Linked DNA regions of Rattus norvegicus. The protein of the gene in region 1 interacts with the protein of each later gene in a pairwise test. Links are inferred from orthologs where the notes say so. Each region holds a gene or a part of one and is shown on either strand. Other genes may lie near its edges. The genes, in order: Eif4a3, Pdcd4 and Ccdc174.

The links.
Region 2: the proteins of Eif4a3 (region 1) and Pdcd4 interact in binary tests that used the Homo sapiens proteins (3 or more experiments, as listed by UniProt). The two-hybrid records come from large-scale screens. The link is inferred for Rattus norvegicus from reciprocal best matches to the Homo sapiens genes EIF4A3 and PDCD4.
Region 3: the proteins of Eif4a3 (region 1) and Ccdc174 interact in binary tests that used the Homo sapiens proteins (3 or more experiments, as listed by UniProt). The two-hybrid records come from large-scale screens. The link is inferred for Rattus norvegicus from reciprocal best matches to the Homo sapiens genes EIF4A3 and CCDC174.

The regions. Positions count from the first base shown.
Region 1 is NC_086028.1:105,051,584-105,062,670, reverse strand, and holds the start of Eif4a3 (eukaryotic initiation factor 4A-III), read left to right. Parts: upstream 1-5,109; 5' UTR 5,110-5,169; coding exon 5,170-5,338; intron 5,339-6,944; coding exon 6,945-7,017; intron 7,018-8,379; coding exon 8,380-8,446; intron 8,447-8,927; coding exon 8,928-8,990; intron 8,991-9,728; coding exon 9,729-9,861; intron 9,862-10,044; coding exon 10,045-10,125; intron 10,126-10,658; coding exon 10,659-10,800; intron 10,801-11,038; coding exon 11,039-11,087. UniProt on the Homo sapiens protein: ATP-dependent RNA helicase. Involved in pre-mRNA splicing as component of the spliceosome. Core component of the splicing-dependent multiprotein exon junction complex (EJC) deposited at splice junctions on mRNAs.
Region 2 is NC_086019.1:262,928,831-262,939,286, reverse strand, and holds part of Pdcd4 (programmed cell death protein 4), read right to left. Parts: intron 9,459-10,456; exon of another isoform or gene 9,413-9,458; intron 8,959-9,412; 5' UTR 8,895-8,958; coding exon 8,852-8,894; intron 6,988-8,851; coding exon 6,685-6,987; intron 5,160-6,684; coding exon 5,065-5,159; intron 3,396-5,064; coding exon 3,282-3,395; intron 1-3,281. UniProt on the Homo sapiens protein: Inhibits translation initiation and cap-dependent translation. May excert its function by hindering the interaction between EIF4A1 and EIF4G. Inhibits the helicase activity of EIF4A. Modulates the activation of JUN kinase.
Region 3 is NC_086022.1:125,959,928-125,970,383, reverse strand, and holds part of Ccdc174 (coiled-coil domain-containing protein 174), read right to left. Parts: intron 5,280-10,456; coding exon 5,075-5,279; intron 2,548-5,074; coding exon 2,452-2,547; intron 1,181-2,451; coding exon 1,038-1,180; intron 605-1,037; coding exon 510-604; intron 1-509. UniProt on the Homo sapiens protein: Probably involved in neuronal development.

The DNA.
Region 1 (11,087 bases):
TCTTCTGGCTGAGCGTTGAGAAACTGTTGTTGGCAATAGGTTGGGTAAAGTCCTGGAATTCTCGTGTCCGTGAGCAGTGAGCATGAAGAGGCACGGCTCTCGGTGTTTGTGACAGGCCAATCCTCTGTGTAACCCTGCCTGGACTCTTCTCCTACCTGCTGCTCTGGGGGCCCTGGTATGTCTGATCTTTCCTCTCCCAGGGAAGTCCACTTGGCCAGTTTGTCCACTCGTGCTAATATGGTGATTCCAAGGCCTACTCAAGCCTTTGTGGGTGGAGAACATTACAAAGTGTGCAATCTTGCCCAGAGTTGCCCTCTGTCTGACCTGGGGGTAGCTTCTGTTCCTTGTCTGTTCTGATCACCACCACCGTAAGCCATACTGTCAAGGTGCTAGCTGCTCTCAGCCTGCCTCGCCCACCTTGAACGTTGCTTCAGGGTGTCAGAAACAGTTTTCCTATTCCTGGAAATGACTCCCACTTGCCATCCTGAGGGTAACTATTGGGGATGTGCTCTGAGGCGTTCAGCGGCAAGAAGTTGGAGTTTCTGCTTTGTGTCTGTAGCTCCTCGAGTCCAAAGAGGTTTTCTTTTCATGGTTTCTGTCTTTCAGGCTTTTGTTGTATTTTGAGACAGGTTATTATGTGTGGTTCTGGCTGGCCTGGGACTCAGTAGTAAGCTGAGAATGGTCTTGAACTTGGAACTCCTGCCTCTGCCCGAAGCACCAGGGATCACAGGGTGCCCTGTGCCACCACACTAAGCATGCTTGGTCGTGTGTGTGTGTGTGTGTGTGTGTGTGTGTGTGTGTGTGCGCGCACGCGCGTGCTTTTGTGTTTGTGTGTGGGCTCCCTCACTCCCAAAGCCCAGGCTGGTCAGGAACTCCTCTTCCTCCTGTTTCAGTCTCCTGAGTGCCAGGGACTACAGGCATGTGCCATCACACCGGGCCTCTGTCTTTAAGGGCGGAGACTTAGGGGTCCCCTCTTTCCCGGGCATGGAGCAGTCCCTTGTGCCCCATTGAACTACTTATTTTCTATTCCCAAGCCTCAGTGAGATGAGCCTTCCTACATGAGGCAGGGGCATTTTAAGTGGAGATGTGAGAAGCCTGAGGCAGAGGGTTCGACCTGCCCAAGAGGTGGTGATGGTCTTGCTGTTTGACTCTGTGATCCTGGCAGAGTGGCTGTGAACTTTTCCTCACCAGGGGGCCTGTGACCTGGGGGAACAGATGGAAATTCCTACAGTCCTCCCACCCAGGCGGGGGACTGAACATCCTTCCATGTGGATCAACATCTGCTTCAGCGGGAACCAGGTGCCAGGCGAAGCTTTATTTCTTCACCCAGACAATATTCCCGCAACTGTTTTAATCTGCCATCACCCCACTTTCCACACCCCGTTTTCCCTCACCCTGCTTACCACACAGGGAAACTCTGTGCCAGCAGCTCCTGCTGCACCCCCTCACTTATTCCTAGCGCAAGGCTCCACAGTCCCCCGTCTTGTGACCCAGAAATTTTGGTAATCCTGACAGCCCCACCCAGCCTAGGCAACTATCAGCTGTGTAAACGTCCATCTGAAATTTCCACAGAATCAGACGGCAGGCACGGCCAACAGCCCTCTCTTCAGAGCTTCAGCATCTCCTTCCCATCTCTGTGCAGCTGGGTCCCCTTTCTCGGTCAAGGATCAGCAGCCGTTCGGGCCCTGCCCCATCTGGAGAGGACGCTGTGGTGATCCCGGTCTGGGAGCCCCCGAAGGTGCCGCAGCCCTTCTCACTTCTTGCTCACTCGCCTTGTCCGTGCTCACACTCACTGCCTCTTCCCTTCACACTCCTTCCCTGGGCGTGACTACGAACACCTCCTCTCAAGTCAGGCCACATTTCCCTCCTGCCACCAAGTGAAACCGGAACCTCAGTAACTCAGTCCACTTCGTCTGTTTCGTTTACATCACAGTAACTATACACAATTATCTCATTTGTTTGTGAGATAATTTTCGTGGGTCTTGCCTTTCTCTGGAATAGACACACAATGAAGGCAATTGATCCTTACCTCTAGCCCAGGACTGGAAATGTTTCCAGTACATAACTGGGGCAGGGCAGCTTACTGTGTACCTGTCTTTGTGTGTGGGACCCCAAGCCTGCAGAAGGCACCAGGAGTCCATGCAGCAAGTTGAAGTCATGGGGTGCTAGGCAGGGTACCTGGGCTCCTGCTAGGTGGGTTTGGGAAATGGTCATGGGTGGGAATGCTAGCAGGAAGCAATCCTTTGGGGACAACTCTTTGGATTCCCTCCTGTCTAATGTTGCCATCCTGACTCCTGGAGCTAGGTTGGCACAGATGGGCTCTTGAGCACACTTTAGCATTGTCCCATTCCCCCCAAATCCCACATGACCTTGCCATGTTCCTGTTCAGCTAGACTATGTCTGTATTCCTCCTCCTCCCCCTGTATGTGAATAGTGAGCAAGCTGGCAGCTGGTTACTTACATTAAGGAGACTGGGAAGCTGACTAGATATACCCATGCCTTTTAAATTAAGCACACCCCCAAATACAAGTGTGTAGTCAATACGATCGATGCTAACGGGAGAGGGTACCGAGACCAAAAATTGTGGGTCTAATCATCTTTGTCACCGGAGACTTCTTCCCTTGAGAGGCCAAGGTGTCTGGGGCTCCAGAGCCCAGGTACTTATAAGCAGGATAAAGCCATTGGAATATAAACTCGAGTTGGACCAATTGTTCCCTTGCTGAAAAAGTAGACTGAGCCTATCTTTCCGTCCGTAAAATAGGTAAGGAAAGACATTCACCAGCACCCTCTGTTTCTAATGGTGGTTGAGATTTATAAGAATCAAATTAGCTGGGTGTGGTGCCACACAACTTTGATCCCAGTACTCTGGAGGCAGAGGCAGGAAGGTCTCTGTGAGTTCAGGGCTGACTGGGTCTACAAAGTGAGTTTCACAGAGAAACTGTGTCTCAAAAAAATTAATCTGTCACTTTAAGCACTGGAATTGTAGATTGCCAAACAGGGCTGTCAGTTGCATGCCTGGGTGTATGTGCACATGCATACAGGTGGTTTTTGAGGTCATAAGAGGGCATCAGGTCCCCTGGAACTGGTTGTAAGTTATGTGAAAGGGGTGCTGGGAACTGAATCTGGGTTCTCTGCAAGACCAGTAAGTGCCCTTAACCACTGAGGCAGCTCTCCAGCCCTTACTGTAGTTCATTTTTATAAAGATATGTCTTCACCTATGCCATCCTGCCTCAAACCTTGGGTGTTTCTGCCTCGGCCACCCAAGTGCTGGGGTCACAGGGTATACACTACCACCTTAGTCTAGATTGTTGCTTTTAAGTAGATACTTTTGCATAAAATACAATGTAACCAAGTTGATCAGATACTTTGAACAGGCAAGTGACAAAGGCATACTATTCATAACTGATTGGATTATAGCTGCTTGCTGATGATAAAGAGAACCAGGGTCTTCAAATTACTTGGGTACTGTAAGAAACTATAGCAAGCCGGGAAGATGGCTCATGGGTTAAGGGAGGGCTGGCTATGCAAGCTTGATGACCTGAGTGAGTTTGATCCTGGAACCCATATAAAGGTAGGAGGGAAGAACATGCTACACAACTGTCCCCCGAACTCCACACCTGCTCTGTAGCATGGGCCTGCCCACTCGCATACACCATGCGAACACACACTAATACATGCGGATACACGCAGACACAATAAACTAAAAAAAGATATGTGAGCAGAGTGGTCCAATAAGAATACAATAACACCTTTCTCTAGTTGTTACATCTGATGAAGTAAAACAGTGAGATGAAACAGCGTTTTAAACAGTAACCACAAGCTATAATTACTCATTTCAACAGACAGTATGAAATGGAGACTTTACATTCTTTTCTTGGGATGTCATTAAAATCCCTGTGTCTTTTACAGCCAAGATTGCAAAACAACCCTTCGAGTCAGGCTTGCAAAAAAACAAAACAAAACAAAAAACGGCATGAGCACGTGGACTAAATCCTCATTGAGTGAGAAGGCATGAGAACTGGAACTTGGCCAACTCTATGCCTTTAGTGCTCTGATTAATACCACATGTATTATATGGTTTATCTGGTCTGGACAAATCCTGATACCAGAGCGGGAGCTGAGCTCTCAAAGAGAAGGCAGTAATAAAGAACTTGTTTTAACATGGGTACATTGCAACCCACAACTTCTCCATGAAAAGATCTGGTTGTAACTAAACTTATCGACATGAGTCTTTCACAGTAGCTTTTAAAGACTTGTTTGAGTATTTGTGTATTTGCGTGTGTGTACACACCACGAGTGTGGCCCCCACAGAGGCTGGAAGCACTGGATCGCCTGGAGCTGGAATATACAGGCTGCGTGAGTCACACGGTCTAAGTGGCTGGAACACAATCAAGGTTCTCTGGAAGAAGAGTAACAGCCCTTAACAGTTTAGTCATCTTTCCTCAAAAGCAGAAAAAAAGAAAGAGGCCACATGCAAATGAAGTTTTGCTAGAACTCGGGTTACGACTCGAAATTACAGGGGTCCTGGGATCCACTCTCACAAACAGAAAGACATGCCCCAAATAGCAAGGCCCTTTTGGAGCCTGCGTTGAAAATCAGGATCCTCCAGAGTGACTGGGGTCACCACGCCGGGTCAGAGGCTCTAAAGGATTCTCGGATGTGATGGCAGCTTGGGCGTCCCCTGCTCTCCCAGGCAAAAACATCTACCCACTCGGTCTCCACCGATTCCTCCCATCCACCACCCCGGGAGAGCAGCTTGATTCTCCCAGGTCGCCACGCTATGGTTGCCATGGCAACGCAGTCAGCAGCGCTGGAGCGCGGAGCCCACAGGACAGTGCCCTCTTCCTTTGCTCTGTACCTTCAGGGACACCTTGGCGTCACTCTTGCTCCTCCCTGAGACCCACATCCCTATCCCAAGTAGGCTGCAGACACCCAGAAGAGACAAGAGTATGCAGAGTCACGGACATCCAGAGACTGCCAGCCCAGTCCCTCGCCGAATCCCGCGGAGCACGGAATATCGCGAGGCTTGGAGCGCTTTGCCTCCCACCCCTCCTGACGCTCTTCCGCGGCGCTGTGTTTGCGTCACTTCCTCCCGACCGGGCCGGCGGCGCGAGCCTTGTTTCCGGTTCCCGCCGCAGCTCGCAGTTGTCTATTAGTGGGGTCGGGATCATGGCGGCCACGGCCACGATGGCGACGTCGGGCTCCGCGCGGAAGCGGCTGCTCAAAGAGGAGGACATGACCAAAGTGGAGTTCGAGACCAGCGAGGAGGTGGACGTGACCCCCACGTTCGACACCATGGGCCTTCGGGAGGACCTGCTGCGCGGCATCTACGCCTACGGTGGGGCGCGGGCCTCGGGGAAGGGGAGGTTGGGGGACGGGCCGCTTCAGACCGGGTGGGGAACGTGCGTCCGAGCTCCAGAGCTCGGGGTTCCCCGGTGCTGCAGTCAGCCAGGCTCCTCCAGTCGCTCGTGTAGCGGATAGCCATGTGTGTGTCCCTGTGAGGTGCCCCGAAGCTTTGATGGGGAAGTCGGGGCTCCAAATCTGGTGCGTTCGTGCCTTGTGGAGTTTAAAGCTTCCTAAGGAAGCGGGAAATACGAAGCAAGGGTGCTTCAAGCGGTGAGAATTGGGAAAACAAGAGAATGAGCGACTGGATAGAGTAGATAGATTGATAACGGTGAGTTAAAAGAGCCGAAAGAGAGCTCCCAGAGGCGTTCAGAATCCCCAGGGGAGAGGGAACAACTGGTCCTGGCTTCTTGAAGCCATTGCCTGACGAGTGCCAGGAACATAAGAAAGAAACCCCTCGTCATGTTTTAAAGGCATGAGTAAAGAATTTGAGATTCACTCCTAAATACAGCGGGGAGCCAGCCACCGCAGAGTTCTGAGCAGAATCGATAGGATCAGGCTTACCGTTTGAAAGTTTATTTTGGTGTCTGGATTTGGAGTTAGAAGAGGAGGCGGGGTGATGGCCGGACCATAGGAGAGATGGGGATGTTATTGTGGAGCTAAAGGATCTGCTGGCAGCAGATGCAGTGCATTCCTGGCTTTTTTGAGTGAATGGTGGGTCATGCTGTTGGTATTTGCTTAGGAGCATTTGAGGGAGGCCGAATGAACTCTTTTTGTTTCTGCTTTCTTTGTTGTTTTGCTTTTTGTTTTGTTTTGTTTTGTTTCTCCATGTACCCCTGGCTGTCCTGTAACTCTTAGTAGACCAAACTGGGCCTCTAACTCAGAGATCCCCTGCCTCTGCCTCCCAGATGCTGGGATTAAAGGTGTGCGTCACCAAGATGTTTAACAACATCTTTTCTTATAAATCCTATCTGCTTATTTGGAAAATACTTGTGTTTTCATTGTTTGTTTTGTTTTAAGACACAGTCTCTCTACCTAGTTCTGGCTGGTCTGGAACTCATTCTGTGAACCAGGTGGCCTGGAATTCACAGAGATCCCCCTGCTCAGCTTCTCCTGCTGGGATTAAGGGAGTGCACAGCCTTGTCCAGTCTTTCATACTGTTCTCCTTGCTAGTAGTGATGGCCCAGCAGGTGGGTGGTCCCTTGATGATGGGCCTTCGTGCAAACAGGAGAGCAGCACAGGGCGTCTCCCCATGCCTGTGCAGGCTCAGTACTCGGGAGACACCACCAGCTGGGGTTTGAGTGCTTGGTAGCAGGAAAGGGCAGCAACTGCAGTGCTTCTGGGTTTGTGCTTTTGCTTGTAGAGCGGGTTTGGTGTGGCTTAGACTGGCCTTGAACTCCTGATGCTCCTGCCTCTGCCCTCCAAGTGTTGGTGTAGTGGGTAGCATCTTGACAGGTAGTCCTGTAGGCTGGTCTGTGAAGATGTGCTCAGCTCTGCCTGTGTTGCCTGGGATTGGCAGGAAGGAGCAAGTGTGTGTTCCCCAGGTAGTTCATGCCGTCACAGTCCTGGGGAGTTACAGTGTTTCCTCTTTGCATTTCTAGGTTTTGAAAAACCTTCTGCGATCCAACAGCGTGCTATCAAGCAGATAATTAAAGGGAGAGATGTCATTGCACAGTAAGTTGTGGGCGCTGAGAGCGAGTTGGGTCCTCGGGGAGAGCTGTGGGGAGCTGAGCCTGCCTTATTTATTTATGCCGACTTGTTTTTGGATGTGTATTCTGGGTCCTATGGAGGTCATTGCACACACTACGCTGATGTAGCCCTAGGTCCTGAATGTAGATCTATGGATTTGTGTAAAGTACTTTTTCATTAGCTTTCTTTTCTTTTTCCTTTGAGACAGGGTTTCTCTGTAGACCAGGCTGGCCTCCAACTCAGAATTCTGGCTGCTATTTGGATTAAAGGTGCATGCTAGGTACAGAGCCCAGGGCCTTCTCTACTACTGAACTATAAATGACCAGTTATCCTTTACATCATACTTCAGACTTTAGGAGCTGGTGCATTAAAGGGAGAGGTCCCCTTTCTGCCTCCTTTGGGAAGTTCTTGTTGGCGTTGCAGTTTCTTAGTTCTGGTGTCCTGGTGTAGAAGCCCCACATCCATTCTGTCTGTAGCAGTTTGTCTCTCTGGGAGCTGTGGAGATCGCTCGCTCTGTTCCCAAGTTCAGTTCTTGGTACCCACACTGAGTGGCTCAGAGCTGCCTATAACTGCAGCCTCAGGTCCAGCATCCTCTTCCCGGCTTTGAAAGAAGTTTCACACATGTTCAGTCACACAGATAAGTAAAGGTGAAAAATAAGAATAAGAAGTGACCTTGTACTTTGGTCTCCCACTGTTGGAGTTAAGATGTTTGGGAGAGTGTGAGATTAATTCATGGAGTTTCTATGTCCTCCTTGTTCTCAGATAACTGCTGGTGTTTCTAAGCCTGCTCTAGCCTGGTGTTTTATTAACAAGCCGTAAAGCTTAAGCTGGCCAGGTTCTGAGACTCTCACCTGACTAGGCTGCTGACACCGGACACATGCCCTGTCACCTGCTGTCTGCTCTGGTCCATGTCTCTCCTCATGGTTTCTCTATACCTTCTCCCTGTGGTTTCCTCACTTCCTCCATTCCCCCTCCCCTCCTCTGGTGTCTGGGCACCCCTGCTTCTCTTCTGTTGAGCTAAACAATGAGCTCCTTCCTGAACCAGTCGGGAGGTGACGGAGTTTACAAAGCACTGAGATGGGTGATACTTCATGAACATAAGTCACCAAGCCTGGCCTGCACTCAGCTCTGCCTGCACAGAACCCAGCATCTGACTAATGCTAGGAACCTTTACAGTGCACAAACCCACCCTCCAACAGGGCAGGAGCAGGGGCTCCTAGTAAGAAGCTGCTGCACATGTCTGCAGCCAGGCCTTTGGAGGGAGCACTGCTGTGGGCTGGGGTCCCTAGAACAGGGGCAGTGTCAGATGCTCTTTCTCTGATAACTACCTTGTGCTTTCTTAAACAGGTCTCAGTCTGGCACAGGCAAGACGGCCACCTTCAGTATTTCAGTCCTTCAGTGCTTGGATATCCAGGTGATTTGCCACTCGCAGCAAATGCTCTTTAATGCCAATGCTGTGTGTACTGAGTGCAGGTTTTAGATGGGGTGTGGTTGACCTTCACAGGAGAGCCCTGACTGTCAGCGCTCTTGCTGGCCTTCAAATTTAGTGTCTCCTGAGGCTGGTTAGGAAAGAGCAGCGAGCTAACCCAAGCTAGTGTTTATAGTAGGTCCCAGTGCTTGTTAGCAAGCCGTGCGAGTGACACTGAGACTGATGGCTGACAGGCTCAGGGCAGGAAGCTGGACTTGGACAGATATCAGGTTCCCTCTCATCCAGAATCTAGTTTTTTTTTTTTTTTTTTTTTAATTTTTCAAAGAGGATTTGAAAGTAGAGATGGGACCGTTTGGGAAGAGATAGGGAAGGGGTAAGAGAATGAGAGTGACTGTGGACATGTCATAGGAAAACCTGTCCATTCCTCTGTACAATCTCATGACATTTCTTTTCTCTAACTCACTAGGTTCGAGAAACCCAAGCTTTGATATTGGCTCCAACAAGAGAGTTAGCAGTGCAGATTCAGAAGGTGAGACAGTCGGAGATGGTGTGCCAGGCTGGTGCCGCCCTGTGACAGTGCTGCTGTCCCCACGTGTGAGGCCCATCAATCCCTGAGCAGCAGTAGAGAGTGCCGCTGTGTTTGCACGTGTCGTTGTATGGAAGGGAGGTGATTTCTGTTTTGCTGGGGGTCCACACGGCGATGGAGCGGGTGAAGGTGCTGTGGCTCACACCTGAGTGCACCTCCCAGAATCCTTGTAAAGGTGGAGGGAACGCTGACCCCCGCTGTCCTCCCACCCACACTTTCCTTCTTCGTTTTTGGTTTTGACAACACAAGAAGCAGGAACCGAGCTGTGTGTGCCTGGCAACCTGTTGTCTGACTCGCTGGTGGTTCTTACCTGGTCTCTGCTCTCCTGGTGTAGCCATGGTCCTAGGAATGTGGCACAGCGGTACTTGGCTCTGCCGAAGTACACAAGGCCCTGGTTCCTTCCTCACAGGAAAATGAAGTTCATTTTAATCAAATAATGACTTTCCTTCTAGTCTTGGAGGGATATGTATTGGGATGTTAATACGGTATGATTATCAACTGTGATTTTTCCCACACTTGGTTTGCACCCCTTCAGTATCAGGAAACCCTAAATTGAATTTCCTTTTGACAGAGGAAAGAGCTTAAGTGAGTGAGTGGTAGGTGGTGTCTCCCATTAAAGTAGAGATGACCCTTGAGATGTGTCTGACTGCGGGCCTCTCATGGAAACCTATTTTGCTTCAGGGTCTGCTTGCTTTGGGGGATTACATGAACGTGCAGTGCCATGCCTGCATTGGTGGCACCAATGTCGGGGAGGACATCCGGAAGCTGGACTATGGGCAGCATGTTGTGGCGGGCACACCAGGACGAGTCTTTGGTGAGTGCTTCTCTTGTTGAGACCTGGGCTGTGGGTGGTGTTTATGAGGTGTGCTCAAAGGACGTGGCAGTTCAGTTGTATACACCACATGGTGGGACAGCTTCTGAGGGCTCTGGGGACCAGTGGGAGTGGCTAGCTCTTTCCTTAGACCCACATGTGATTCTTTCAAAATCTAATTGCCAGATATGATCCGCCGTAGAAGTTTAAGGACACGGGCAATCAAGATGTTGGTTTTGGATGAAGCTGATGAAATGTTGAACAAAGGTAAGGGGACCAGAATTTTCTAGTAACATACTGTTAGGTGTGTGTGACAGTCCTTACTTTTTGCAGAAGCAGTGTGTCTTGTGGGTTTTTTTTTTTTTTTAATTATTTATTGGTTTTATGAGTATGAGTACACTGTCGCTGTCTTCAGACACACCAGAAGAGGGCATCAGATCCCATCACAGATGGTTGTGAGCCACCATGTGGTTGCTGGGAATTGAACTCAGGACCTCTGGAAGAGCAGTCGTGCTCTTAACCGCTGAGCCATCTCTCCAGCCCGTCTTGTGGGGTTTTGAACCTGAAACTTTTATTGTAATGTTTTTGTGGTTTTGTTAATGTTTTTGAGACCAGTCCTAGCTGGGGTGACAGTGTCTTCTTATTGTCTGGTTTGGCACTGCACATGGCCTGGGTCAGGGTTCAGGTGTTCACATGCGCACCTGTGAACTCGCTCTGACCACCGACTTCTCTGAAGTCCCTCTGTGTGGCTCTCAGTGACAGCCTGAAAGCCAACGCCGAGCTCACCACATCTGCTGCAGGTTTCAAGGAGCAGATCTATGACGTGTACAGGTACTTGCCACCAGCCACTCAGGTTGTTCTCATCAGCGCCACGCTGCCCCATGAGATCCTGGAGATGACCAACAAGTTCATGACCGACCCCATCCGCATCTTGGTGAAGCGGTAAGGATGCATCCCTTCATTCCCTGGGTGGAAGCCAGGTTTAATGATCTCTACCCTCTTCCATTTCTAAGCCTGAGCTGTGTGCTCCGTGGGGTTCTGTGGTCTGCGGAGGGAGAGGAACCCAAGGGACCGAGAACTGGAAAGGTCTAAAGCCAGCTGGGTAGAGGAGGGCTGGGGGCTCAGCGTGGCCCTGTCCCTCGGATTCTGGGTTGGAGAGTGACGTGAGCTCTGTTCTCAGTGATGAGTTGACTCTGGAAGGCATCAAACAGTTCTTCGTGGCCGTGGAA
Region 2 (10,456 bases), on another chromosome or scaffold:
ATGAAGAACTTCATTAAAGGGTCACAGCATTAGGAATCTTGAAGGAATCTTAGAGAAAAAGTTGAAGTCTTTAAGATTAGCACACAAGGGTGGGGACTGTAAGCAAGCAGCAGCAGAGGTTACCATTCAAGGCTAAGATGGCTGCCAAACAGGAACCTGTTTGTGTAAAAATAAGCAATTGCAACAAGACAAGAGATGTGGCAGCATCCTGCGTGTTAGCATCTAATCTGGCAAATCAGATATAACCAAGAGAATGAGATGAGGTGACTTCTTAAGGGTTGGGGGCCACAAGGAAAAGAGAGTGCAAGTTAGACCCATGCTCAGAAGCCCAGCCTGGGATCCGAGACCTTGGAATCCACAGGAAGAGTCAACGTGAGGAAGATCATGGTAAAAGCAATACAAGATACTATAGAGGTCCAACCTTTAATGGAATAAAAGGGAAAATCTATGATCCAGAATATGGTCCCATGCAAGAAACTAGAGTGGTCAAGAGATACTCAGCACTAAAAGTGCTGAAATTAGGGAAGTTTAAACAAGTAGCAAAAGAGCCTGTTTTAGCCTGGCTTGTGAGGCTGTGGGACACGGGTGGATGGGATCCATCTGACTGCTGTGGAGACAGAAAAACTGAGTAATGTAACTTCCCATCCCTCCTTAAGGCAAAGGCTGCATGGCCTGAGGCAGTGTGATGGACATAGTCTTTGGTGGATTGGCTTATGAAAGCCATGAAGAACACTTGGTCATCTCTGTCTGAAGTCCCCATAAACATCAGGAACTGGAGGACCAAAAAGGAGGGGCAGGTGCTATTGAGGGAACTAGGAGGAAGAGGAGCAGTGTTTGAACCTGGTTCACTGGGTCAGGTAGAACTGCGTTCACAGAGAAGGCAAAGGAAAGGTTGATCCAGCAGGGACCTCATGGCTAGTGTGGAGCTTTAGTGGCTTTTCTGAGCCCTTTGGTGGGGTAAGATCTTTATAAAGTAGGAGGGGATTTGACAGATCTCAGTGACTTAGAGCAAGATGTAGAGAGTCTGTAATGTGAGAGCCCTAGAGGAGGTAAGAAAAAGACACAGCAGATAAAGAGATGCCTGGGTTATTCAGAGACAGATGTGGTGGGATTTGGGTCTCACTGGAGTTCCCAAGGAAAAGACTGACAAAGAAAGCCATCTGTGTGCTAAAGGGCTTCTGGAAGACACCCAGAATAGATCGGCACAGTGAAGACGATCAAGCCTGCCCCAAGGGTGGAATTATCCCCCGAGACTATGAAGGGTATATTTCCCTCCAGCAAAAGGTTATGCTAGCAGTGGAGATGGTTTGCCCAGCCAGGAATTCCAACAGCCCAGTATGAATGGAGAAGCTGCAGCCACCATGAACCAAGGGCCACTCTGACCTAGGGAGCCATTAGGTACAGCGGGAGAGAGCAGAGCCACATTCACCTTTGGCCATGAGCAGGTCTGAGCAGACTGAGTCAGGCTACTGAGTTTGTCAGGTTTGGAGAAATGTAGGAAGACTGTGGAAGAGCCCCGGGATCGGAAACTTAATGGCTCAGAGAGAATGACTGAGGATTACAGAGAGCTAATGAAGTTAATGCCTCCCATCCACGTGCTTGGTACCCAACTATGATCTGGGGAGGAAGGAACTGCTACAAATGCATGGAGCCTCTCCGTATTCGGCCCTGCTTACGTTACACTTTAGAACATCTTAGTTGTGAACCTCTGCACTCACCTGACGCTTGCTCAGAACAGGTTAAACAGACTTTCAGAGTGCTTCACCAATGTTACCTTTGTAGCCTCCCTCTGTCATGGGTTGGTACGTTAGGGTGTTGCCTTGTCCCACCCATCCTCTAGAAAATGTGTTATATAAATGACATAATGTTAACTTCTGAGTGTTTCTGAACACCTAGAAGTATACCCAAAGGACCTACAGGTGCATCTAAAGGAAGAGGGAAGGAACCCTAGAAGTCCAAGCACAGCAAACATGGCTCCTGCAGGCCTTGCCCTTCTCCCCCATTCTCTCTGCCTTATTAAAAACCATTAGATTACATTCCAAAGGCTAACCACCAAGGTCGAGTCCCCTCAGCCACGTCCTCCTCCTGAGGCTGACAACCAAGGTCCAGCTATCAAAGTACTGAGGTCCAGCAATCAAAAATCCCCTTTGCCTCACCTAATTAACATGCCTAATTAAAATTAAGCAGCTCACCCTACACTGAGTTTCCCTTTAACCGTTATAAACTGTCATCTGCTATGAATCACATTTGTCTCCACTGTTCAGAGCCTGTCTGTTGTTGTCATCATCCCACTCCCCCTCCTCAGACAAATATTCCTTCCCCCTCCCTCTTGTTTCTTTTTCCCTTCTCCTTTCCCCTCCCCCTCCTGTCTTTGTTTCTTATTCCCTGACTTTTGTCACTCTACAGAACTTGGTCTTGTGGATCTTGAGACAATACCAGTCCCTTCAATGAAGATGGGAGATCAACCCACAGGGGCAAGGGCCAGGCACAGGTGTGAAATCCTTGGCAATACGAAGGTCTTGTACGGTAAGACACATATGACACCTGTCAACATTACTGTCAGAATCCTACAATGAACTACGTCTGCAAACAGAAAGGTGCTAGAGGCTTTGGGGAGCTCTTGGGATAGTAGCAGATTTTCATACCCCATCTTGCCTAAGCTGCCCATCCTTTGTATAAATTGATAATGAAAGGGGGATTGGCACGAAAAGGCTAAAATGTCTTCTGAGCGGGCTAAGATCACGGTAGTACAGGTAAACAATCTGTCTCTTCCTGTTAGAAGTTACCAGACGTTGATAAGGCTGTAGCTGGACACTATAGCAAAAGCAGCCTGAGCAAAGGCCCAGCAGGGTTTGGGTCTTTTATAGAAAGGAGCAGAAGAACAGAACAGCAACTGTTACCTGCAACAGGGGAGCCTACAACCCAGTACCCTAGCAACTCAAGAACAGCTGCCCATCGAAGGGCTAGAAGAAGGCACCGGGTCAAACTGCTCTCTGTTGTAGCACAGACTCCAGCTCTACGGAGGCGGCAGCACACTTATAACAGTGAGGAGTGGCATGCACAGGCCCCGCACAAGGGCTGGGCAAGCTGCCCTTGGGACCAGTGTCCTCTGAAGCTGCTGAGTGTCGCCCAGTGACTGAGCCACGTTCCTTTCTTGGTTGACATTTGTTGTTGTTACAAAAGAAAAGAACATAAATTTATCCAGAGTAACCCCAATGGCTCTATCCAGAGTAACCCCAATCGCTCTCCATGGTGTTTACCCCCTGCCCCTGAAAACCTACCGCGACTTCGTTCGTATCTCCGTGCTCAAAGTACTCCTGTATGATGGGTGTTAACGTCTTCTCAAACGCCGTCTCATCCAGGGGCAGAACCACAGTCTCATAAACACAGTTCTCCTGAAAGAAGGGCATCACAAATTAAATGTTCGAATAAACTGAAACCATCGTTTCATAGCTCCGCCAGCTGATCACCAGTAAGGCAAGAAAAGGACATTGCTTCCTGCTGTAATCAGTCTGGGTGCGACGCTGTCACAAAGCGTCAACAGGCCCCAGACAGAACAAACCCACTCACGGCAGCAAATGTGTAATTTTTCTCCCAAATTCTGTATTTCATGCTGACTTACTTGGGTATGGAGGGGGGAGCATGTACCATGCATGCATGTGGTGTGCAGGGACCAGAGGTCAAGGTTACCTCCACCTACCATGTCCTCACTGAAGGACTGGATGACAGATGCATCCACCACAGCTGGTTTTTCCTATCAGTTTCCTGACTGTGGAGACTACACTCAAGCTGCCCAATTTGTACATAAAGTGCTTTTCCCTATTGAACCATCTCCTCATCCCTTTCACCTCATTTTCTGAGGAAAAAGTCTCTCACTAAACCTGGAGCCCCATCTAGCAAGCCCTGGAGCCCACTTGTCTCCACTTCTCAATGCTGAGCTCAATGCTGAGATCACCGTATGTCCAGCATTTATAGAGGTGCTAGAAATCCAAACTCAGGTCCCCTGTTTGCATAGCAACACCTTACCTAAGCCACCTCAGCTTTTATGTTAACTTTTATATTCCTCGCAAAACCAACTTTTCGACCCAAAACCTTTAACATGGCATCCCAGCACATACTTTCATTAAAATTTGACTTTTTAACAAGATTAAGTATTCTTATATATGTACTAACATTGTCAAAAGCAGAAACTTTCAAAATTAATATAATAAAAATAAGAGATCAATATTGTAATGACTGAAAATCTAAGAAAAAGCAGTTCAAGTGAAACTTAAGTAAGATAAAAAATGCTTATCATGAACCCATGTGTCTACTCTACAGAAAAGCTAAAATATTTACCTACAACTTGTCACTTAAAATATTATTTGCAGCATATACTTAAAAGACTAATATTTAGCAAAGTACATGGTATTTCAATCCCACAGCTTTTAAATATTTTTATAATCTCTTAGAAATTTTCCATATCCATCTGTTAAAACTGGTAAGTACACATATGAGAATAATGTGCAAAGAAAACAATCTAACACACACACACTGACATTTTCAAGTAAACAGATATAGATTAAATAAGATAGCCTGTGAGTTAATACTGGGGAAGCTGGAAGAAGAGTACCAGTAGGATTCATTGCACCAATTATACTTTTAAAATTTTTCCATTAGAAAGACAGAAAGAACTTCACAATGATGCATTAAGATATTCCTTATTAAGTATTATCATGAGAGAGAAAATGCACATGTCCCCAGAACAACATATACACTAGTACTCATGTTAAGTAGTGATTCTAAAAAGGAACCCAATACCTGCAGCCCATGATACTCCTTTATTATCACCAGTCTCAAGTCAATAAAGACCTCCTGACTCCCAAAACCAAGTGGAAATTATGTATACTTTACTATCAAAAAACCTGGTTTTCCTAATCTGTATATATGATTTTTCTATTCATGTTGTCTTTATCTTCATAGCTATGGAGTACTGATACATAACCATGTATCACTTGACAATCTTATGAGTGAAAATCAAGAAATCTTACAAACATTGAGTATATTAAAAAAAATAGCTGATACCTGGTCATCATCATAGTTTGGATCTTTCACATCCACCTCCTCCACATCATATACCTGTCCAGGTGTGCCCCAGACACCCTTGCCTCCTGCACCACCTGAAAGTTCAGTTGATAGTTCACAAATATTAACTGAAATCTGAAATAATTTCAAATGTAAAAATTCTTATGCTAATTATTTTCCAGTTGAGAATTACACTTGAAATTCCTATAAAGATCACTTTTTCAATAATAGATTATATTTCTAAAAGCATTAAGTCAAAATAACTTAGTTAGAAATTACAAAGGCAAAATCTTTAAAATATTTTTTTAATCTGAGCAATAGTTGTACCACAGACCTTACAGAACATGACACTGTGGTGCAGCTCTAAATTTTGGCATTTCTTGGAACCAGAAAAAAGAATAAAGAAGAAAAACATTTTGGGCCAGGAAATGTGGCATTAAAAGCTCAACACATTTAAAAAAAAAAAAAAACATTCCACAGATATCTATAATGACTACCGTCATGCTAACATGTAATATTCTTCCACATAAAGTGCACATTAAACTATACTTAGAAATTAGCAGTATTTTAACAAATAATTGCTATTTAAAAAATCAACAGCAGTAACAGCTGTTTCTCTCTACTTCTGCATATAGAACAAAGACTATAACTTCAACTGAGCAATTCACTTTTCCATTATCAATTTACTGTGGCATTTTTAGAAGGCCAAATTTGTCTAAAATAATACTTTTTAAAAAGCCTTCAGAATGCCATTGCCCCCCTTTTAAGTTTTCATTCTATACCTGGACTATAATCCTTGCCAACACAGCAGACCAGAACCAGATAACTTCAGATCACTTTGATTGATATGATTATGTAAGCTAATCACAAAATAATTTCTGAAAGACCACTGAATACTGATATATTTATCTTTCCCTATTCACCTCAACAAAAATGTTTTTCATAATCATATTTTTTCTTGGCATTAGTTCTATGTTCATTAATAAAAGATGCTGAAATTCAATCTCCATGTTTCAGTTCCCCCCTCTTTCCAAACACTTCATCACAAGATCCATTTAAATTATCAGCGTCTTAAATGTGTAACTGAAGCTCACACCATTCAAAATCCAGTCCAATCTCCAATTCTACTAAAATCCTACTATAGACAGAGGCTGAAAGCCTCTCATCCAATGAATTTTAAATGTCTATCAGTATTCTAGGCACTGGATACTACAGTGAAATAAATCAATCTACTCCAACACTCAAGCAGCAGAACTAAAAAGAGCTCAGACCCAGATCCACGTATATGTTACCAAATGCATAGTCACTATTTTTAACATTAGACATAGATTCATTTGGTAACAGTTATAATAAACCTGACCACCTTCATAATGTGTATAAAATTCATAACTGAAAGCATCAATGTCTACTATATTTTGCTGAGAGGAAAAGAGAAAGTTTACTCCAAAGAAAAAGTAAGCAACCTAAAGAAAAAGTGGTATGGGCCTTCAGCTCTGCCATAAAGATTCATGCAACTCATAAAGCCCTAGGACTGTTAATGCTTTCTCTGTTTACAACAAGGGAGTCCTAGCACAGGAACCGGGGTTCTTCCAGTTGTTTCTTTGCACAGCACACACTAACCTTTCTTTGGCAGCCCCCTTCCTTTCCCAGATCTGGACCGCCTATCTAGCAACCTTCCTTTTGGACTGGTGGGCACAGCTACTCCACTTCTAACTGCTTCACTTCCATTATCACTGACTGAATCGCCTCGGCCAGAGTCCCGGGATGAATTTTTCCGCAGTCGTCTTTTTGCTTTAGCATTAATTCTAGCTTCATTAATAGTAGATGCGGAGATCCAATTTCCATTTATTTCATTCTTTATTTCCTCAGTGCCAGCATTTTCTTCATCTCCAGAAAAGAGAGAGTCACTTAAATTGTCAGGGTCTTAAAAGAGAAAAAAGAAAACCAAACTAAGTATTTCCAATATCCACTGTTATGTCAGGTACAATTTTTTTTAAAGATTTATGTATTTATTTTATGTATTTGTACACACAGTCACTGTCTTCAGACAGACCAGAAGAGGGCATCAGACCCCATTACAGATGGCTGTGAGCCATCATGTGGTTGCTGGGAATTGAACTCAGGACCTCTGGAAGAGCAGTCGGTGCTCTTAACTACTGAGTCATCTCTCAGCCCCGTCAGGTACAATTTAATTTGGTTACTTCACATGCAATTAACATTCTGTAGGCTAGTAGTAGTCATACATTGGCAATTTTACATGACTTGATCTAATAAAGGACAGATAAGATTATTTGTCCCATTACCAAGGAAAGTAAATGAAGGTACTGAATTTTAATTAACAGGGTTTTCTAAAAAAAAGTTATTACACTTGCTTGGATAATAAAAATCTATGTTAGTATGAAGAACAAAAAAACTATAGACTTGTGAGCAAAGAGTTACCAAGTAGAGAGAGGTAATAAAGAATCTTGAGACAAAGGAGATAAACTGCACAGTGTCTAACATACTTTTTCTACTGGACAGTACAAGTTCAGCACGTCATACAGATGAGGAAATCAAGGTTCTGATGGTATTTAAACTATTTTCAAAACTCTCCCTGCTCAATTACAAATGTTTAGGAGACTTAATGTCTGCAATATATACTTGACTTGTAATCAAATACAACTGTTGAACTGACTGCCTTCAATATAGGAAATGCTCTTAAAATCATTATCTCCAAAACTATTTCCTTAAATTTCTATCTCTGAAAGGTCCCCAGCCTACACATGTTGGTACATTAGCACCTAAAGTGGTTGGCACATTAGTACCTAAAAGAGACCAAATGGTCTTTTGCTTAGAAGTCATTTAGTTACTAATTTGCTATCAGAATTCTTCAAAATATACCCAAATCTCATTCCCTCCATGAAAACCATCCTAACAACTTCAGCCACTAGAACACTACATGGTCATACAATGATCATTCAACCCATTGCAGCAATCAATGCTTTACTTCTTTTATGACTTTCCCTGCTCATAGCCTCAAAGAAGGGGCTATTACCAGACTGCACTTCCTGTCAACAGCACCCCACAGACCACTCTCCCCTGTCTCAGATGTCTTTGACAAGCAGATGGCGCCTCAGCTTTGCTCTGGAGACATTTTTAAGTCAGAAAGGCCACTGGCTTCATTACCACTCTAGCAGTTTATTTTCCCAGATGGGTAACTCAAATAAGAGGCAAATCACCCAAACTGTCTGGTGTGTAATTGTAATTATGATAATTATTATTATGATGTAAAGTTGACATATATGACTTTTATTGTAGTTTGTGAGTCTAAAAAGTGAAAACTGAATCAATTTAAAAAGCACAGATGTATTCAATTCTTTTAGATTCTTAGCAAAAAAGTACAAATGTTAATAAGAAAACACTGTAATCCAAAACAAACACACATAGTGTGTTACAGCATTTCATTAGTCTGTCTCTCTCCTTCGATCTTCAACAGTCTCCAAAGTGAAGACAGTGGTGTTCTAAAGCATGCCCTTACTGAAAAACTCTTTCAAAGCTTTCTACATTATCTCAGTGTAGAAGTCCTTACTATTGTAACATAACGTCGCTCAACACTGTCCCAGCTAAGTGTACCACCCTCAATGCTGACCACTTTTAAATGCAAGTACTCAAAACTTTTACTAGTTTCCGTTGCCTTTTTGTAGAGCCAGGATACCTTAAGCATGGCTAAGAAAGTACTTTAAGAGCTTTACTCTCATTTGGAACAGCTTCAAGGTTGGTCACAAGGCAGGGTTAGAATACAACTCACCAGTGGGGTTCACATTCAGTATCTGCTCGTTTTCTACATCCATTTTTCCTTAATTTCACTTGCACTGATTATACGCAAATTACTAAATGGAAGTCTTCCTTTAGAATCTACGTTTTAAAAAAAAGAAAAGAAAAAGGTTCAACATCTTCTAAACTGACACAATAAGGTAAATTCAACTTACTTGAATAAAATGTAAAAAAAAAAAAAAAAAGCCTCAATCCCTTCAAAAATAGTCTAATTAATACTTAGCTCCCAATTTCTCCATAAGCTTTTCTGAGACAAAAAGAAAAACAAAAAATTACATCAGATTTCAGCATGTGCCAATGAATCCCTTAAACGTGAGGTTTAAAGAAACATTTATAACACACATCTTTTAAACATACACACCAAATCTTTTACGATTCTCTCCCCCCATTACCATGTGCGTGTACATGCATGCATGTGTGCACGTGTGTGTGCGTGCTTCTGCATGTGTTTGTGTGCCACATTATAAGCCACATTGTGAATAGACAGCTGTGTAGGGCAGAAGAGGGCACTGGATTCCCCCAGAGCTGGACTTACAGAGAGCTGTGAGCCAACAGATGTGAACTCTGGGAGCCGAACTCAGGTCCTCTGGAAGAGCATTATGCACTCTTAACCCACATTCCATCTCCCAAGCCCACATTTAATACAGTCTTAAAATTAATTTGACATCCACATACGGGGACATAAGTACTGGATAAATCTCTAACAAAAACTAAAATTTACTCTAAAATAAAAACAACAGTCTTGGCTAATCAGAACATTTCATGTACTGATCTTTCCCATCACAGACTATCCAAAACCAGAGGCAGCTGTCATTTCATTTCCTCGTCCATTACATTGTCTTTTTATGAGGCACTGAAACAGGAAGAGATTTTTAAGTAACCCTTTCTATTATGTGATTTATATTCAGCATATGGCTTTTATAATCTAAAATTTTCATTCTTAAAAAAAAAGCACAACCTGCTTTAAGAATAAAAGGCAGATGTGGTTAAAATACACACACACACACACACACACACGTAATCGCAGCACTAGAGGACACACATGGGTCACCAGGAGTTTAACACCTGCATGTGAGACCTTTGTGTGCTGTGGAGAGCAGACAGGTGATAAACTTCACCAAGTTTAACAAGCATAAGGCCCTCCACATCTATATCCTTTCTCCCTAAAACAGGTATCAACTTGTGAAACAAGAGTAACACCTTATGCTGAGGTGATGTCATGACTGTTAGGCTACACCAAGACGTTATCCTACCCAAGAAACAGAACATGGTAAAAATCACTCTCTAGTTCTGCTCAGAATTAACTGACATGTAGGTCTGAATGGCCACTTACTTCCCGGTGTTAATTTTAAATGACTTGGGATCTAGAAAAAAAAATGAATTTTAAAGTAGATACGTAGAGAGTCATACAAATGTAAGACCAAGTATAGTTTGGAAATGGAGAATTTTACTACTTTCCGTGGCTGAAATTGCTGAATCCTGCTTTCCCTCAGCGTATGCCTGGATCACTCGCTAGAGGAAATCTGCCAGCTCTGATGTGATCTGAATGTAACCAAAGTTACATCTTCAAGTGTTATTT
Region 3 (10,456 bases), on another chromosome or scaffold:
GGATATGAACCAAACATGGCATGACAAGCTACAGCAAAACTAGGCCCAAACCCTCACATCAGGGCTGGGTGGGGCAACCCAGTGGGAGGAGGAAAAGCGTCCCAGAAGCAGGTTAAAGAATGAGAGATACCCCCACTCCCACCAAGCTAACAACCATTTGCACGTACGTATGTATGTATGTATGTATGTATGTATGTATGTATGTATGTATGTATGTATCCAGAGGACCCAACACACCCAAGAATGCTTAGTGATTGCCACTGCAGTCTCTGTGAGCCTCACTGAGCCCTGCTTAGATTGATTCTGTGGGTTGTGTTCTCCTGGTGTCCTTGACCCCCTCTGTGGGAGTCCCCAAGCTTAAGGGGAGGTACCCGATGGAGATCTCCAATTCATGTTCTCTCTCTACCCAAGTCTATACATGTCTGGATTTACTACATTTTTTTAAGCATGGCATATTAATTAAAAAAAAAAGCATTCAAATCTATAACAACTTAAACTTTAACTTGTACCTGCTCACGAAGCATCTCTAAAGTTTTCATTTGCTTGTTTCTCAACTCTTTGTCTCGGGCAAAGGCAAAATACCCAACACCAAGTTGCCGGGCCTCTGAAACAATCAAAATTATCAAAAGATTAGATTTCTGTAATTATTTTTTTTTGATTTCTGTAATTATTAAATCACATGTACAACAAGTTCCCAAACAAACCAAAGAGACACAAGGTAATATTTGCACAAATTTAAAGCAAAACCACAAAAGCTAAACTGTTTTACTATTTACTAAGTGACAGACACATAGACAGGCTCCTTGGCCTGGCTGTCTCCTCTCCTCTCTGGGAACAATTTCTTGGGCTAACAAACCTTCTGTTAGGAAGAGGTCCCCAAGTTTCTCAGGCCGTGGACAAAGGATACTTTCACCCTCTAAAGTACAGTCTGATCACATAAGAGCACTACTCTGTAAGAACATGGCTTTCTGCCTGCCACTGTCTAGCATTTTTAAAAAGAATTTTTAAAAGTTGCAAACAAACAACCCCAACAATACCATTTTCCCGAATGTCTTCATAGTGGATGGGCCCCATTGGTTTTTTCAAAGCCTCCCTTTCTTCTTCCTCCCATTGTTGGCGCTGAAGTTCTTTCCTCATGTCTTCAGATAACAAAGTCTTTTCATTAGCAGGACTAACAAAACTGGTAGAGGGATAGAAAAGCCCATGTTTACGGGAGCAACATGAGACAGCAACACTTAGGTGGATCATGGCTGAGTAACACAATTTGGAAAGACAACAGTTTCCACAGAAGTTTCTGACTAAGAAGTCAATACAACTGCTTTAATATTTTTAAAATTCATTTACACACTGTGTATATATACACATGAGCATGTATGCAATGTTTGCACATATGCACATATGCCACAGCACACATGTAGAAGTCAGTCAGAAGACTGCTTTCAACCTTTAGGCATCTATTTTTCCCTTCTACCACGTGGGTTCCCAGGATTGAACTCAGGTCATTATGCTTAGCAGCAAGTACTTTAACCTGATGAGCCATCTCAAATAATCTTATTTTATCATTTTTAAATCAATTCCCAGACTTACACATGAGCCTGATGGGATCTTGCCTCAATGTTCAAGAAAAGTGACTTTCCTTTCTACCCTTGTCCTGGCTGACATATGGGAGGTGGCTTAGCCAGGAAGGATAACCACTGAACTTCTCTGAATGGCACCTTGTCTAAAGACATGGATGCCTCTTGTCCAGCGGATGGCCATGGTTTATGCTGTGGCCCCTGTGTGCTTATTCCAGGTCTACCACAGGATGCCTCAACCTCAAAGGGCTCACACAGGCGGAGTTTCTCTAATATGTCTCATATAAAGGCTGACCACCGGGAATTTTAATCACCAAGATACTTTTCAAACGTATGTTATTTCTTTGGTTTCATTAGAAATGTTGTCATGAGGCCTTTGCTTCAATATACAAAGACATATGAATAAGAAGTGAATAAAAGCAAGTGAACCTTCTCAAACCCTCTGTTCACAAAGGCTGATTTGTTAGCTAGGTTTGGGCTCATTCTGTATTTGCAATCTAGATCAGACATCCTTCCAAGTCAACAGTCAACTTATCCCTTTCAGCAGTAACAATGCACATGACCAGAACAGAGTGCCTGCCTGGAAAGCTTAAACCTAGTTCAAGTCCAGCCCAGGGAATAATGTTACTAATTCTCCTCAGTCCCTGAAAAAAAAAATGGGTTTCAGAAAAAGAAAATCAATAAGTAAAGTACAATGACATTCAGGCTGCTCCCTGAGCACAGACGGTTATTGTGTAGGGTATGTTAAGCTACAGGCTTCGGTATATCGTCGTACTATTAATGGTCTTACTATAGCAACAAGTAGTCATTCAGCAGCCTCTCCCAGAAGACAATCCCTGTGGCTGTGTTCCTGACAAAGGCCACATATTAAACTTACAGTCTCCCCTGAAGATTTTTATCCATCTCCAATAGACTTGGTAAATCCTTTCTCATGCAGCGCCGGGATCGGCCCAAAGAGTCCACATAATCCACCCTGAAAATTAGACATTGGGAAGACAGTTTGTACAGTTTGTACCATGAGCAGAAGATCCCTATGTCAGGGAGTTGGCAATATCATTACAGAGCCTGTGACCAAGAACCGGGAAGCTAAGGGCCCACTACCACAGGAAAAAACAATTAGCAGCTGGCACTCAATAAGCTTGTTGTGCCCTCTGCTAAATCTGTTTTAGAAACTATAGGAAGGAATTGATCATGGTTCTGATTTCAAAGACAAATTACCAATACAGAAATGGTGACATGGAAAAACTCTCTTAATTTGCGTGCATTTTCGCCACTAGACTATGTACTCCAGATTTTCACTGCTCCCTCCCCAGTGTACTCAGGCCTCACCCCTTTTACTGCTCTGCTTCCAGCTGACACATTCTCTCCAGTGAGCTTAAGAGTTCTTAAAATAAGTCATGGTGTCTTTTGGACCCACTGTGAGTAGGAGGAAGACAAGCAATATACATCCTTCTTCATCTTTCCCCAAAGCAGACAGTAGGGGCAGGGCACACCAGTCACACAGCAAGGTTAAACAAAACACTGAGACTTCCTAACAACAAAATATGGGCAGGTTTTCACAGAAACCATTTCCTTTGCACTACAGTATAATGTACTTTCCTATTTGTTATCACAAGCAAGAATCTCGCAGAGTCTGGAGCAGAGTTTAGGGCACACAGTTAAGGACTAAATAATACAGGTTCTTAACAGGCTGTGCTGCGAGTAAGCAAAGCCCTTCAAGGTCTGACTCAGCTGGCAGTGCTGGTGCCTGTAATTTCTTTTCTCTCAAGTGACGATGATTTCCTTGTTAGCCCATACTTTAAAACCAAATGCTTGGGAATCTACTCCTTTAGACACAAGAAATCAAACAACTAAACAAACAGTGTCTTCATTTTCTTTTTTCTTTCCGTCTTTTTTACTCAATGGGAGAGAAAACCATCTAGCCAGATGGTCTGTGTAATTATTTACAGTATTTTTGCAGAAAGATCTTGCACCACCTGGGATCTAATTACCAAAAGGATTTACAAGTAGTCACAATTCTGAAGCTTAATTCAAAAACAAAAAAAGTGTGGGAACTGCTTGAAGTGTCTTACTGCACCATATGGTGGCATGTGACACCTTCAATTGCCCTCCAAATTCCTCAAATTGCTGGCAAACTGCCTGTAATCATAAAGGCATTAATAAGAAAATAATTAAAAGACATTAGATCATTCACAGGCGATGGGATTTCTGCCTTGAAAAGCAATCATAGCTATTCTGTTCTGGAGAGGCCTTCGAAGCACACAAAGCCAACAAAGGGAACACAGAGCCAGCAATGGCTCTAGCTCATCAGCAACTGCTTACTGAGCAGTCCCAGCCAGCACGAACCTGGAGGAACTGGGCAAGCGAGGAAAGACTGTTCTCAGGAAAGCAGGAAGGGTGCATGGCAGAAAACACAATTTAGGCAGATTATAAAAACAAGCAAAAGTTTGTCTCAAATGTTTTGCTGGTAATAAGGCCTAGAATGGGTCAACTGTAAATAAAAGATATGATTCCACCCCCCTCCAAAAATTAGTTCAGATGAGGAAGCAAGTACTTAGGACTAGAAAGGCACAGAGAGGCTGAGTTCTTTTCTGTGATTCCATGTAGCATACCACCACATGTCTACCCACAACAGTATCATTAGATGGAAGTTGTTTAAAAGTAAGAAAGCATGGACCCCAGTGGACACCTTCAGCCATATGAAGAGGAAGGTTCTCTGACATCCTCAGTAGCAGGGAGTTCTCGTTATGCATAAATGCCTGTCCGAAGGGGCTAATTAAAAGGCTAAGAAACACCACAAACAGTCCTGAGCAGAGAGCAAGAGTTTAGAGGCCAGCCCAGTACATGGTCAGGACATCGGTGATGTCTAAGCAATGGCAAACTCTGCTGAATGAGTGACATGGAAGACACTGTGATGGGATTTTCACTCTGATCTGCATGTGGCTCCGTTCCTCCATCTGTTATGTACATACAGGTAAAATCCAGGAAAAGGTCAAAGATGAAGTTCTGCAAAGTATCTGCTTATGCTCCCACCATGGAAGTCACATGCTTCCAGAAGGGAATTTAAGGGAAATGGAGAGGATTTGTGGTGTTACCAGAAAACAGTGCAGCTAGGATACAGCTTACTGTACCTACCCTGCCAGTCACTCGAAGGGAACCACTTCAGGACCTGGCATCTGAAGCACAGCACAGTAAAGCAGCAGCATGGTAATGAGGAGCAGGATATGGATGGAGCGCCAAGGATCCTTGGGCCTGGCACCACATCAGGCCCAACAGAGAGATGCTCAGTTCTTACCTGCAGTCCCTGATGTTACCTCTCCACTGGTGCCCATTTCTATAATTGATACACTAGCTCATCCCAGTTTAAAGGGAAGGTTTTTGGAAGACAGAAAACCCAGGCAGAATAAGAAAAAATGCTGTGATAATGATCAAGCAAAACACTTCTCAAAAAGCCAATGTGCATTTGAGAGGATCATTCCGATCTAATCCCCACTACCCACCATTCCTCACTGGGGTCTTGAGGGGGAGGTATGTCTTTTTCAGAAAACTCTTCTTCATCATCATCATCATTAGCAGCAGCAACAGCAGCATCTCTCTCTTCTTTGATTCGGGAATCTCTAGTGGCACCAAGCACCTCCATTTCTTTTCGCTTGTCTATGATTTTCTGTGTGAAATCCACAAGGTACATGTCCTCCACTTCCTCATCTACGGCACAAAAATCAATTTACAGATCTTGAAATTAAAAAGGAAAATCATAGCTGGAACTGAGAAGGGCCCCACTGTCTGACTGTTTGCCAGTCAATGCCTGCATCTGGGACAATTTACAGACAGCCACCAAGCACCTGACAGGAAGCTCTAAATAAGCCATCCATAACACCAATCATAATATTCCAAAAAGCCTTGAGGTTCCAGCTGTGTTATCAACACACTGTGTGAGCAGTAAGTCCATGTAACAACACACCCATTCAATTTAGAGCAACCCTCAGCTAACAACATACGAGAGACACAGAACAGATAGTGGACCTTTCTTGCTGTGGTGTAACAGGCCTTTCTAAACCTATGAGCTGCATCATTTAACTCTCACACTGGTGGAAAGAGGTGCTTGAAAGTTCCTAACACAGGTAAACAATGTGCACTTAAGCTGGGGCATGGTGTGCACACCTTTAACTGCAGCACTTGGGAGGCAGATACAGATAGATCTCTTTGAGGTCTACATAGTGAACTACATACATAGTGAGCTCCAGGTCTTCCAGGGCTACCTGGTGAGGCCCTGTCTCCCTCTTGCATACACACATAAACACACACACACACACACACACACACACACACACACACACCCTGAGTTCTTTTCACAAGTGGACATTGTTTTCAGGTAAGATCTGAAGCCAGGCTCTTCAGGGATAGATTCAACATGTTTTTTTTCCTAAGGACAGGGACAGCTAGGACAGACACTGGGCTCCCTATCACCAAGTGGTGATATCATCCCCCTTTACAGTGTAACAGTGGAGACAGCTGAGGCTCTAAGACTTCACCAGCTCAGATACACAAGTACAGTAATAAGTATCAGGAGATGGGACTGCTGGATCTGACAAAACCCATTTTCCTCAGACATACTCCTTTTGACTGAGTTACTGGATTTTCATGTTATTTTTAACTACAAGCATGGGGAAGAAGGGTGAATGGTGTACAGATACCCTCAGAAGGCAAAAGAGAACATCAGTTCTCCTACAGCTGGAGTTAGTTACAGGCAGTTGTGAGTTGCCAAGAGGAGTGCTAAGAACCAAACTCTGGTCCTCTGTAAGCACAGCAAGTGCTCTTAACTGTTAAGCCATCTCTCCAGCCTCTGGGTTTCAGTAGTAACAATAAAAGTTCGAATCAAAAGAAAAAGAAAAAGAATAAAGCAAAGCAGTTTTCAAAGCCACTAGAAGGAAGAGCTCTTTGAGAGCTGAGGTGCAGAGGCACACAGCAGTGAGACATCCTGGAGATGAACACCTTGCTCCTCTTCTGGAGCGCAGCACTGTCGCCACAGCTCCCACCTTCAGGAATGACTGACTTTTCCATGCTGGACTCCCTGCAGTGCAAACAAGCCACACTATCTAAGAAGAGGCAAATGATGGCCCAGCACCACTGGTGTCTTGATTGCTAGACAGGCTAGACTATGCTGAGCCCCACCCCATTCCCTTGGAAGATCAGCTTTTACCACTCTCCCCTACAGATCCTTTTCTCCAGCTTACCAGGTCAAAGCACTTCCTTCTAGAAATTTCCTGAATGCATACTTGCTTTCCCTGCCTCCTGCCAATGGTATGTGCACTGGCAGAAATTCTCTTATACTGTTTTCCAACTTTGAATACTGATTTCTATTTCAGGGGGATATGACAAAAGGGAATTGCATTACAAATGTTTAAACCAATTACATGACATCATACGACTACTAACAAAATATGCCATGAAGTCGAAATTACTTAGGATGTGGGAAAATGTTAGCATAATAAAGGAGAGAGACAAGGAAAGGGGAGAAATAGAGAGAGCAAAGTTAAATAAACTAAAAGAAAAAGAAGAGGAATGGAATAGAATATTCTAGAGAGAAAAAAAGAGCAAGGAGTTATCAAAAAGAAAAATAAAATAAAGATTTCCTAACTGGATAAATGTAGGAAGAGAACTAAGATTAAAAATGATGAATCAGAGATGAATCAGAGGGTAAGTACTTATTGCTCAATCATGAAGACCTGAGTTCGAATCCCTGTAAGCTATATAAAGCCTGGTTTGCAGCACATCTGTAATCCCAGTCCTCCTGTGGCAGAAAGGTGGGAGACAGAACAGACCCCTCCAGCTTGTGTCTCAACAATGTGGAAGGGAAGGCCCACCACACGCTCCACTTCCATGCTGTGGCATTAACATACCTGCACTCAGACACAATAGCATACACATAGCCACACACATCCAACATATACACAAAAATATAAAAGCAATAGAGGAAAATACTGCATGAAGTTAAAAGAAATAAAAAGCACATCACAGAAATAAAACTGAAAATAGAGGGACAAAGGAAAGGAAAAATGGACACATAATCTCAAAGGCCTAAATGGGGCCATAATTCTGTGTAACCTTCCCTTTCCCACATGCATGGCTGTCCCTGCGTGTAAGGCGACCCCAGTTAAACTGTCTCCTAGGTGTAACGCTCTCCTCCTCCATCCAATGGGATCTTCTGTGAAGGTGGAAGAACTGGCTCCCTCTACTCCTCCCCTGTGCGCTGATGGCTCCTAACAAGCTGGCTGGTACCCAACAGACCATCACATTACTACTGCAGATTTTCTTGTTTCCATTGGATTTGTAAGATTTCTCCCTCTTAGAATCATTCAAACAAGCTTCCTGGTTGCTGCCGCTGCAGAGAGCCCCTGGGCAGCACCCCACGAGCGAACCTGAGCCTCGGGACCACAGGTAAGACCAACTTTTCTGCTGCAAGAAAGCTGCCTGGTGAGCTTGGAACACACGGAAGCAGAATTCCTCTAGGACCGGGCACGTTCTGTGTTTACCGGAAGTCCCACACCCGAGGATCCCGGCCCGCAGCAGCTCTCTGCTCCCAGACCCGGTGAGAGAGAGACCCAACCGCCTGATCAGGTGGGCACTCCTGAGGCTGCAGAGCGGAAGAGACCACCAACACTGCTCACCCCTGCCCACATCCCTGGCCCAAGAGGAAACTGTATAAGGCCTCTGGGCTCCCGTGGGGGAGGGCCCAGGAGCGGCAGGACCCCTGCCTGAGACACCTCCGGAACCTGAAAGAAAGAGACCGGATAAACAGTTCTCTGCACCCAAATCCCGTGGGAGGGAGAGCTAAACCTTCAGAGAGGCAGACAAGCCTGGGAAACCAGAAGAGACTGCTCCCTGCACACACATCTCGGACGCCAGAGGAAAAAGCCAAAGACCATCTGGAACCCTGGTTCACTGAAGCTCCCGGAAGGGGCGGCACAGGTCTTCCTGGTTGCTGCCGCTGCAGAGAGCCCGTGGGCAGCACCCCACGAGCGAACTTGAGCCTCAGGACCACAGGTAAGACCAAATTTTCTGCTGCAAGAAAGCTGCCTGGTGAACTCAAGACACAGGCCCACAGGAACAGCTGAAGACCTGTAGAGAGGAAAAACTACACGCCCGAAAGCAGAACACTCTGTCCCCATAACTGACTGAAAGAGAGGAAAACAGGTCTACAGCACTCCTGACACACAGGCTTATAGGACAGTCTAGCCACTGTCAGAAAGAGCAGAACAAAGTAACACTAGAGATAATCTGATGGCGAGAGGCAAGCGCAGGAACCCAAGCAACAGAAACCAAGACTACATGGCACCATCGGAGCCCAATTCTCCCATCAAAACAAACATGGAATATCCAAACACACCAGAAAAGCAAGATCTAGTTTCAAAATCATTTTTGATCATGATGCTGGAGGACTTCAAGAAAGTCGTGAAGAACTCCCTTAGAGAACAAGTAGAAGCCTACAGAGAGGAATCGCAAAAATGACTGAAAGAATTCCAGGAAAACATAAATAAACAAGCAGAAGCCCATAGAGAGGAGACACAAAAATCCCTGAAAGAATTCCAGGAAAACACAATCAAACAGTTGAAGGAATTGAGGATGGAAATAGAAGCAATCAAGAAAGAACACAGGGAAACAGCCCTGGATATAGAAAACCAAAAGAAGAGACAAGGAGCTGTAGATACAAGCTTCATCAACAGAATACAAGAGATGGAAGAGAGAATCTCAGGAGCAGAAGATTCCATAGAGATCATTGACTCAACTGTCAAGGATAATGTAAAGCGGAAAAAGCTACTGGTCCAAAACATACAGGAAATCCAGGACTCAATGAGAAGATCAAACCTAAGGATAATAGGTATAGAAGAGAGTGAAGACTCCCAGCTCAAAGGACCAGTAAATATCTTCAACAAAATCATAGAAGAAAACTTCCCTAACCTAAAAAAAGAGATACCCATAGACATACAAGAAGCCTACAGAACTCCAAATAGATTGGACCAGAAAAGAAACACCTCCCGTCACATAATTGTCAAAAGACCAAACTCACAAAATTAAGATAGAATATTAAAAGCAGTAAGGGAAAAAGGTCAAGTAACATATAAAGGCAGACCTATCAGAATCACACCAGACTTCTCGCCAGAAACTATGAAGGCCAGAAGATCCTGGACTGATGTCATACAGACCCTAAGAGAACACAAATGCCAGCCCAGGTTACTGTATCCAGCAAAACTCTCAATTAACATTGATGGAGAAACCAAGATATTCCATGACAAAACCAAATTTACACAATATCTTTCTACAAATCCAGCACTACAAAGGATAATAAATGGTAAAGCCCAACATAAGGAGGCAAGCTATACCCTAGAAGAAGCAAGAAACTAATCGTCTTGGCAACAAAACAAAGAGAATGAAAGCACACAAACATAACCTTACATCCAAATATGAATATAACGGGAAGCAATAATCACTATTCCTTAATATCTCTCAATATCAATGGCCTCAACTCCCCAATAAAAAGACATAGATTAACAAACTGGATACGCAACGAGGACCCTGCATTCTGCTGCCTACAGGAAACACACCTCAGAGACAAAGACAGACACTACCTCAGAGTGAAAGGCTGGAAAACAACTTTCCAAGCAAATGGTCAGAAGAAGCAAGCTGGAGTAGCCATTCTAATATCAAATAAAATCAATTTCCAACTAAAAGTCATCAAAAAAGATAAGGAAGGACACTTCATATTCATCAAAGGAAAAATCCACCAAGATGAACTCTCAATCCTAAATATCTATGCCACAAATACAAGGGCACCTACATACGTAAAAGAAACCTTACTAAAGCTCAAAACACACATTGAACCT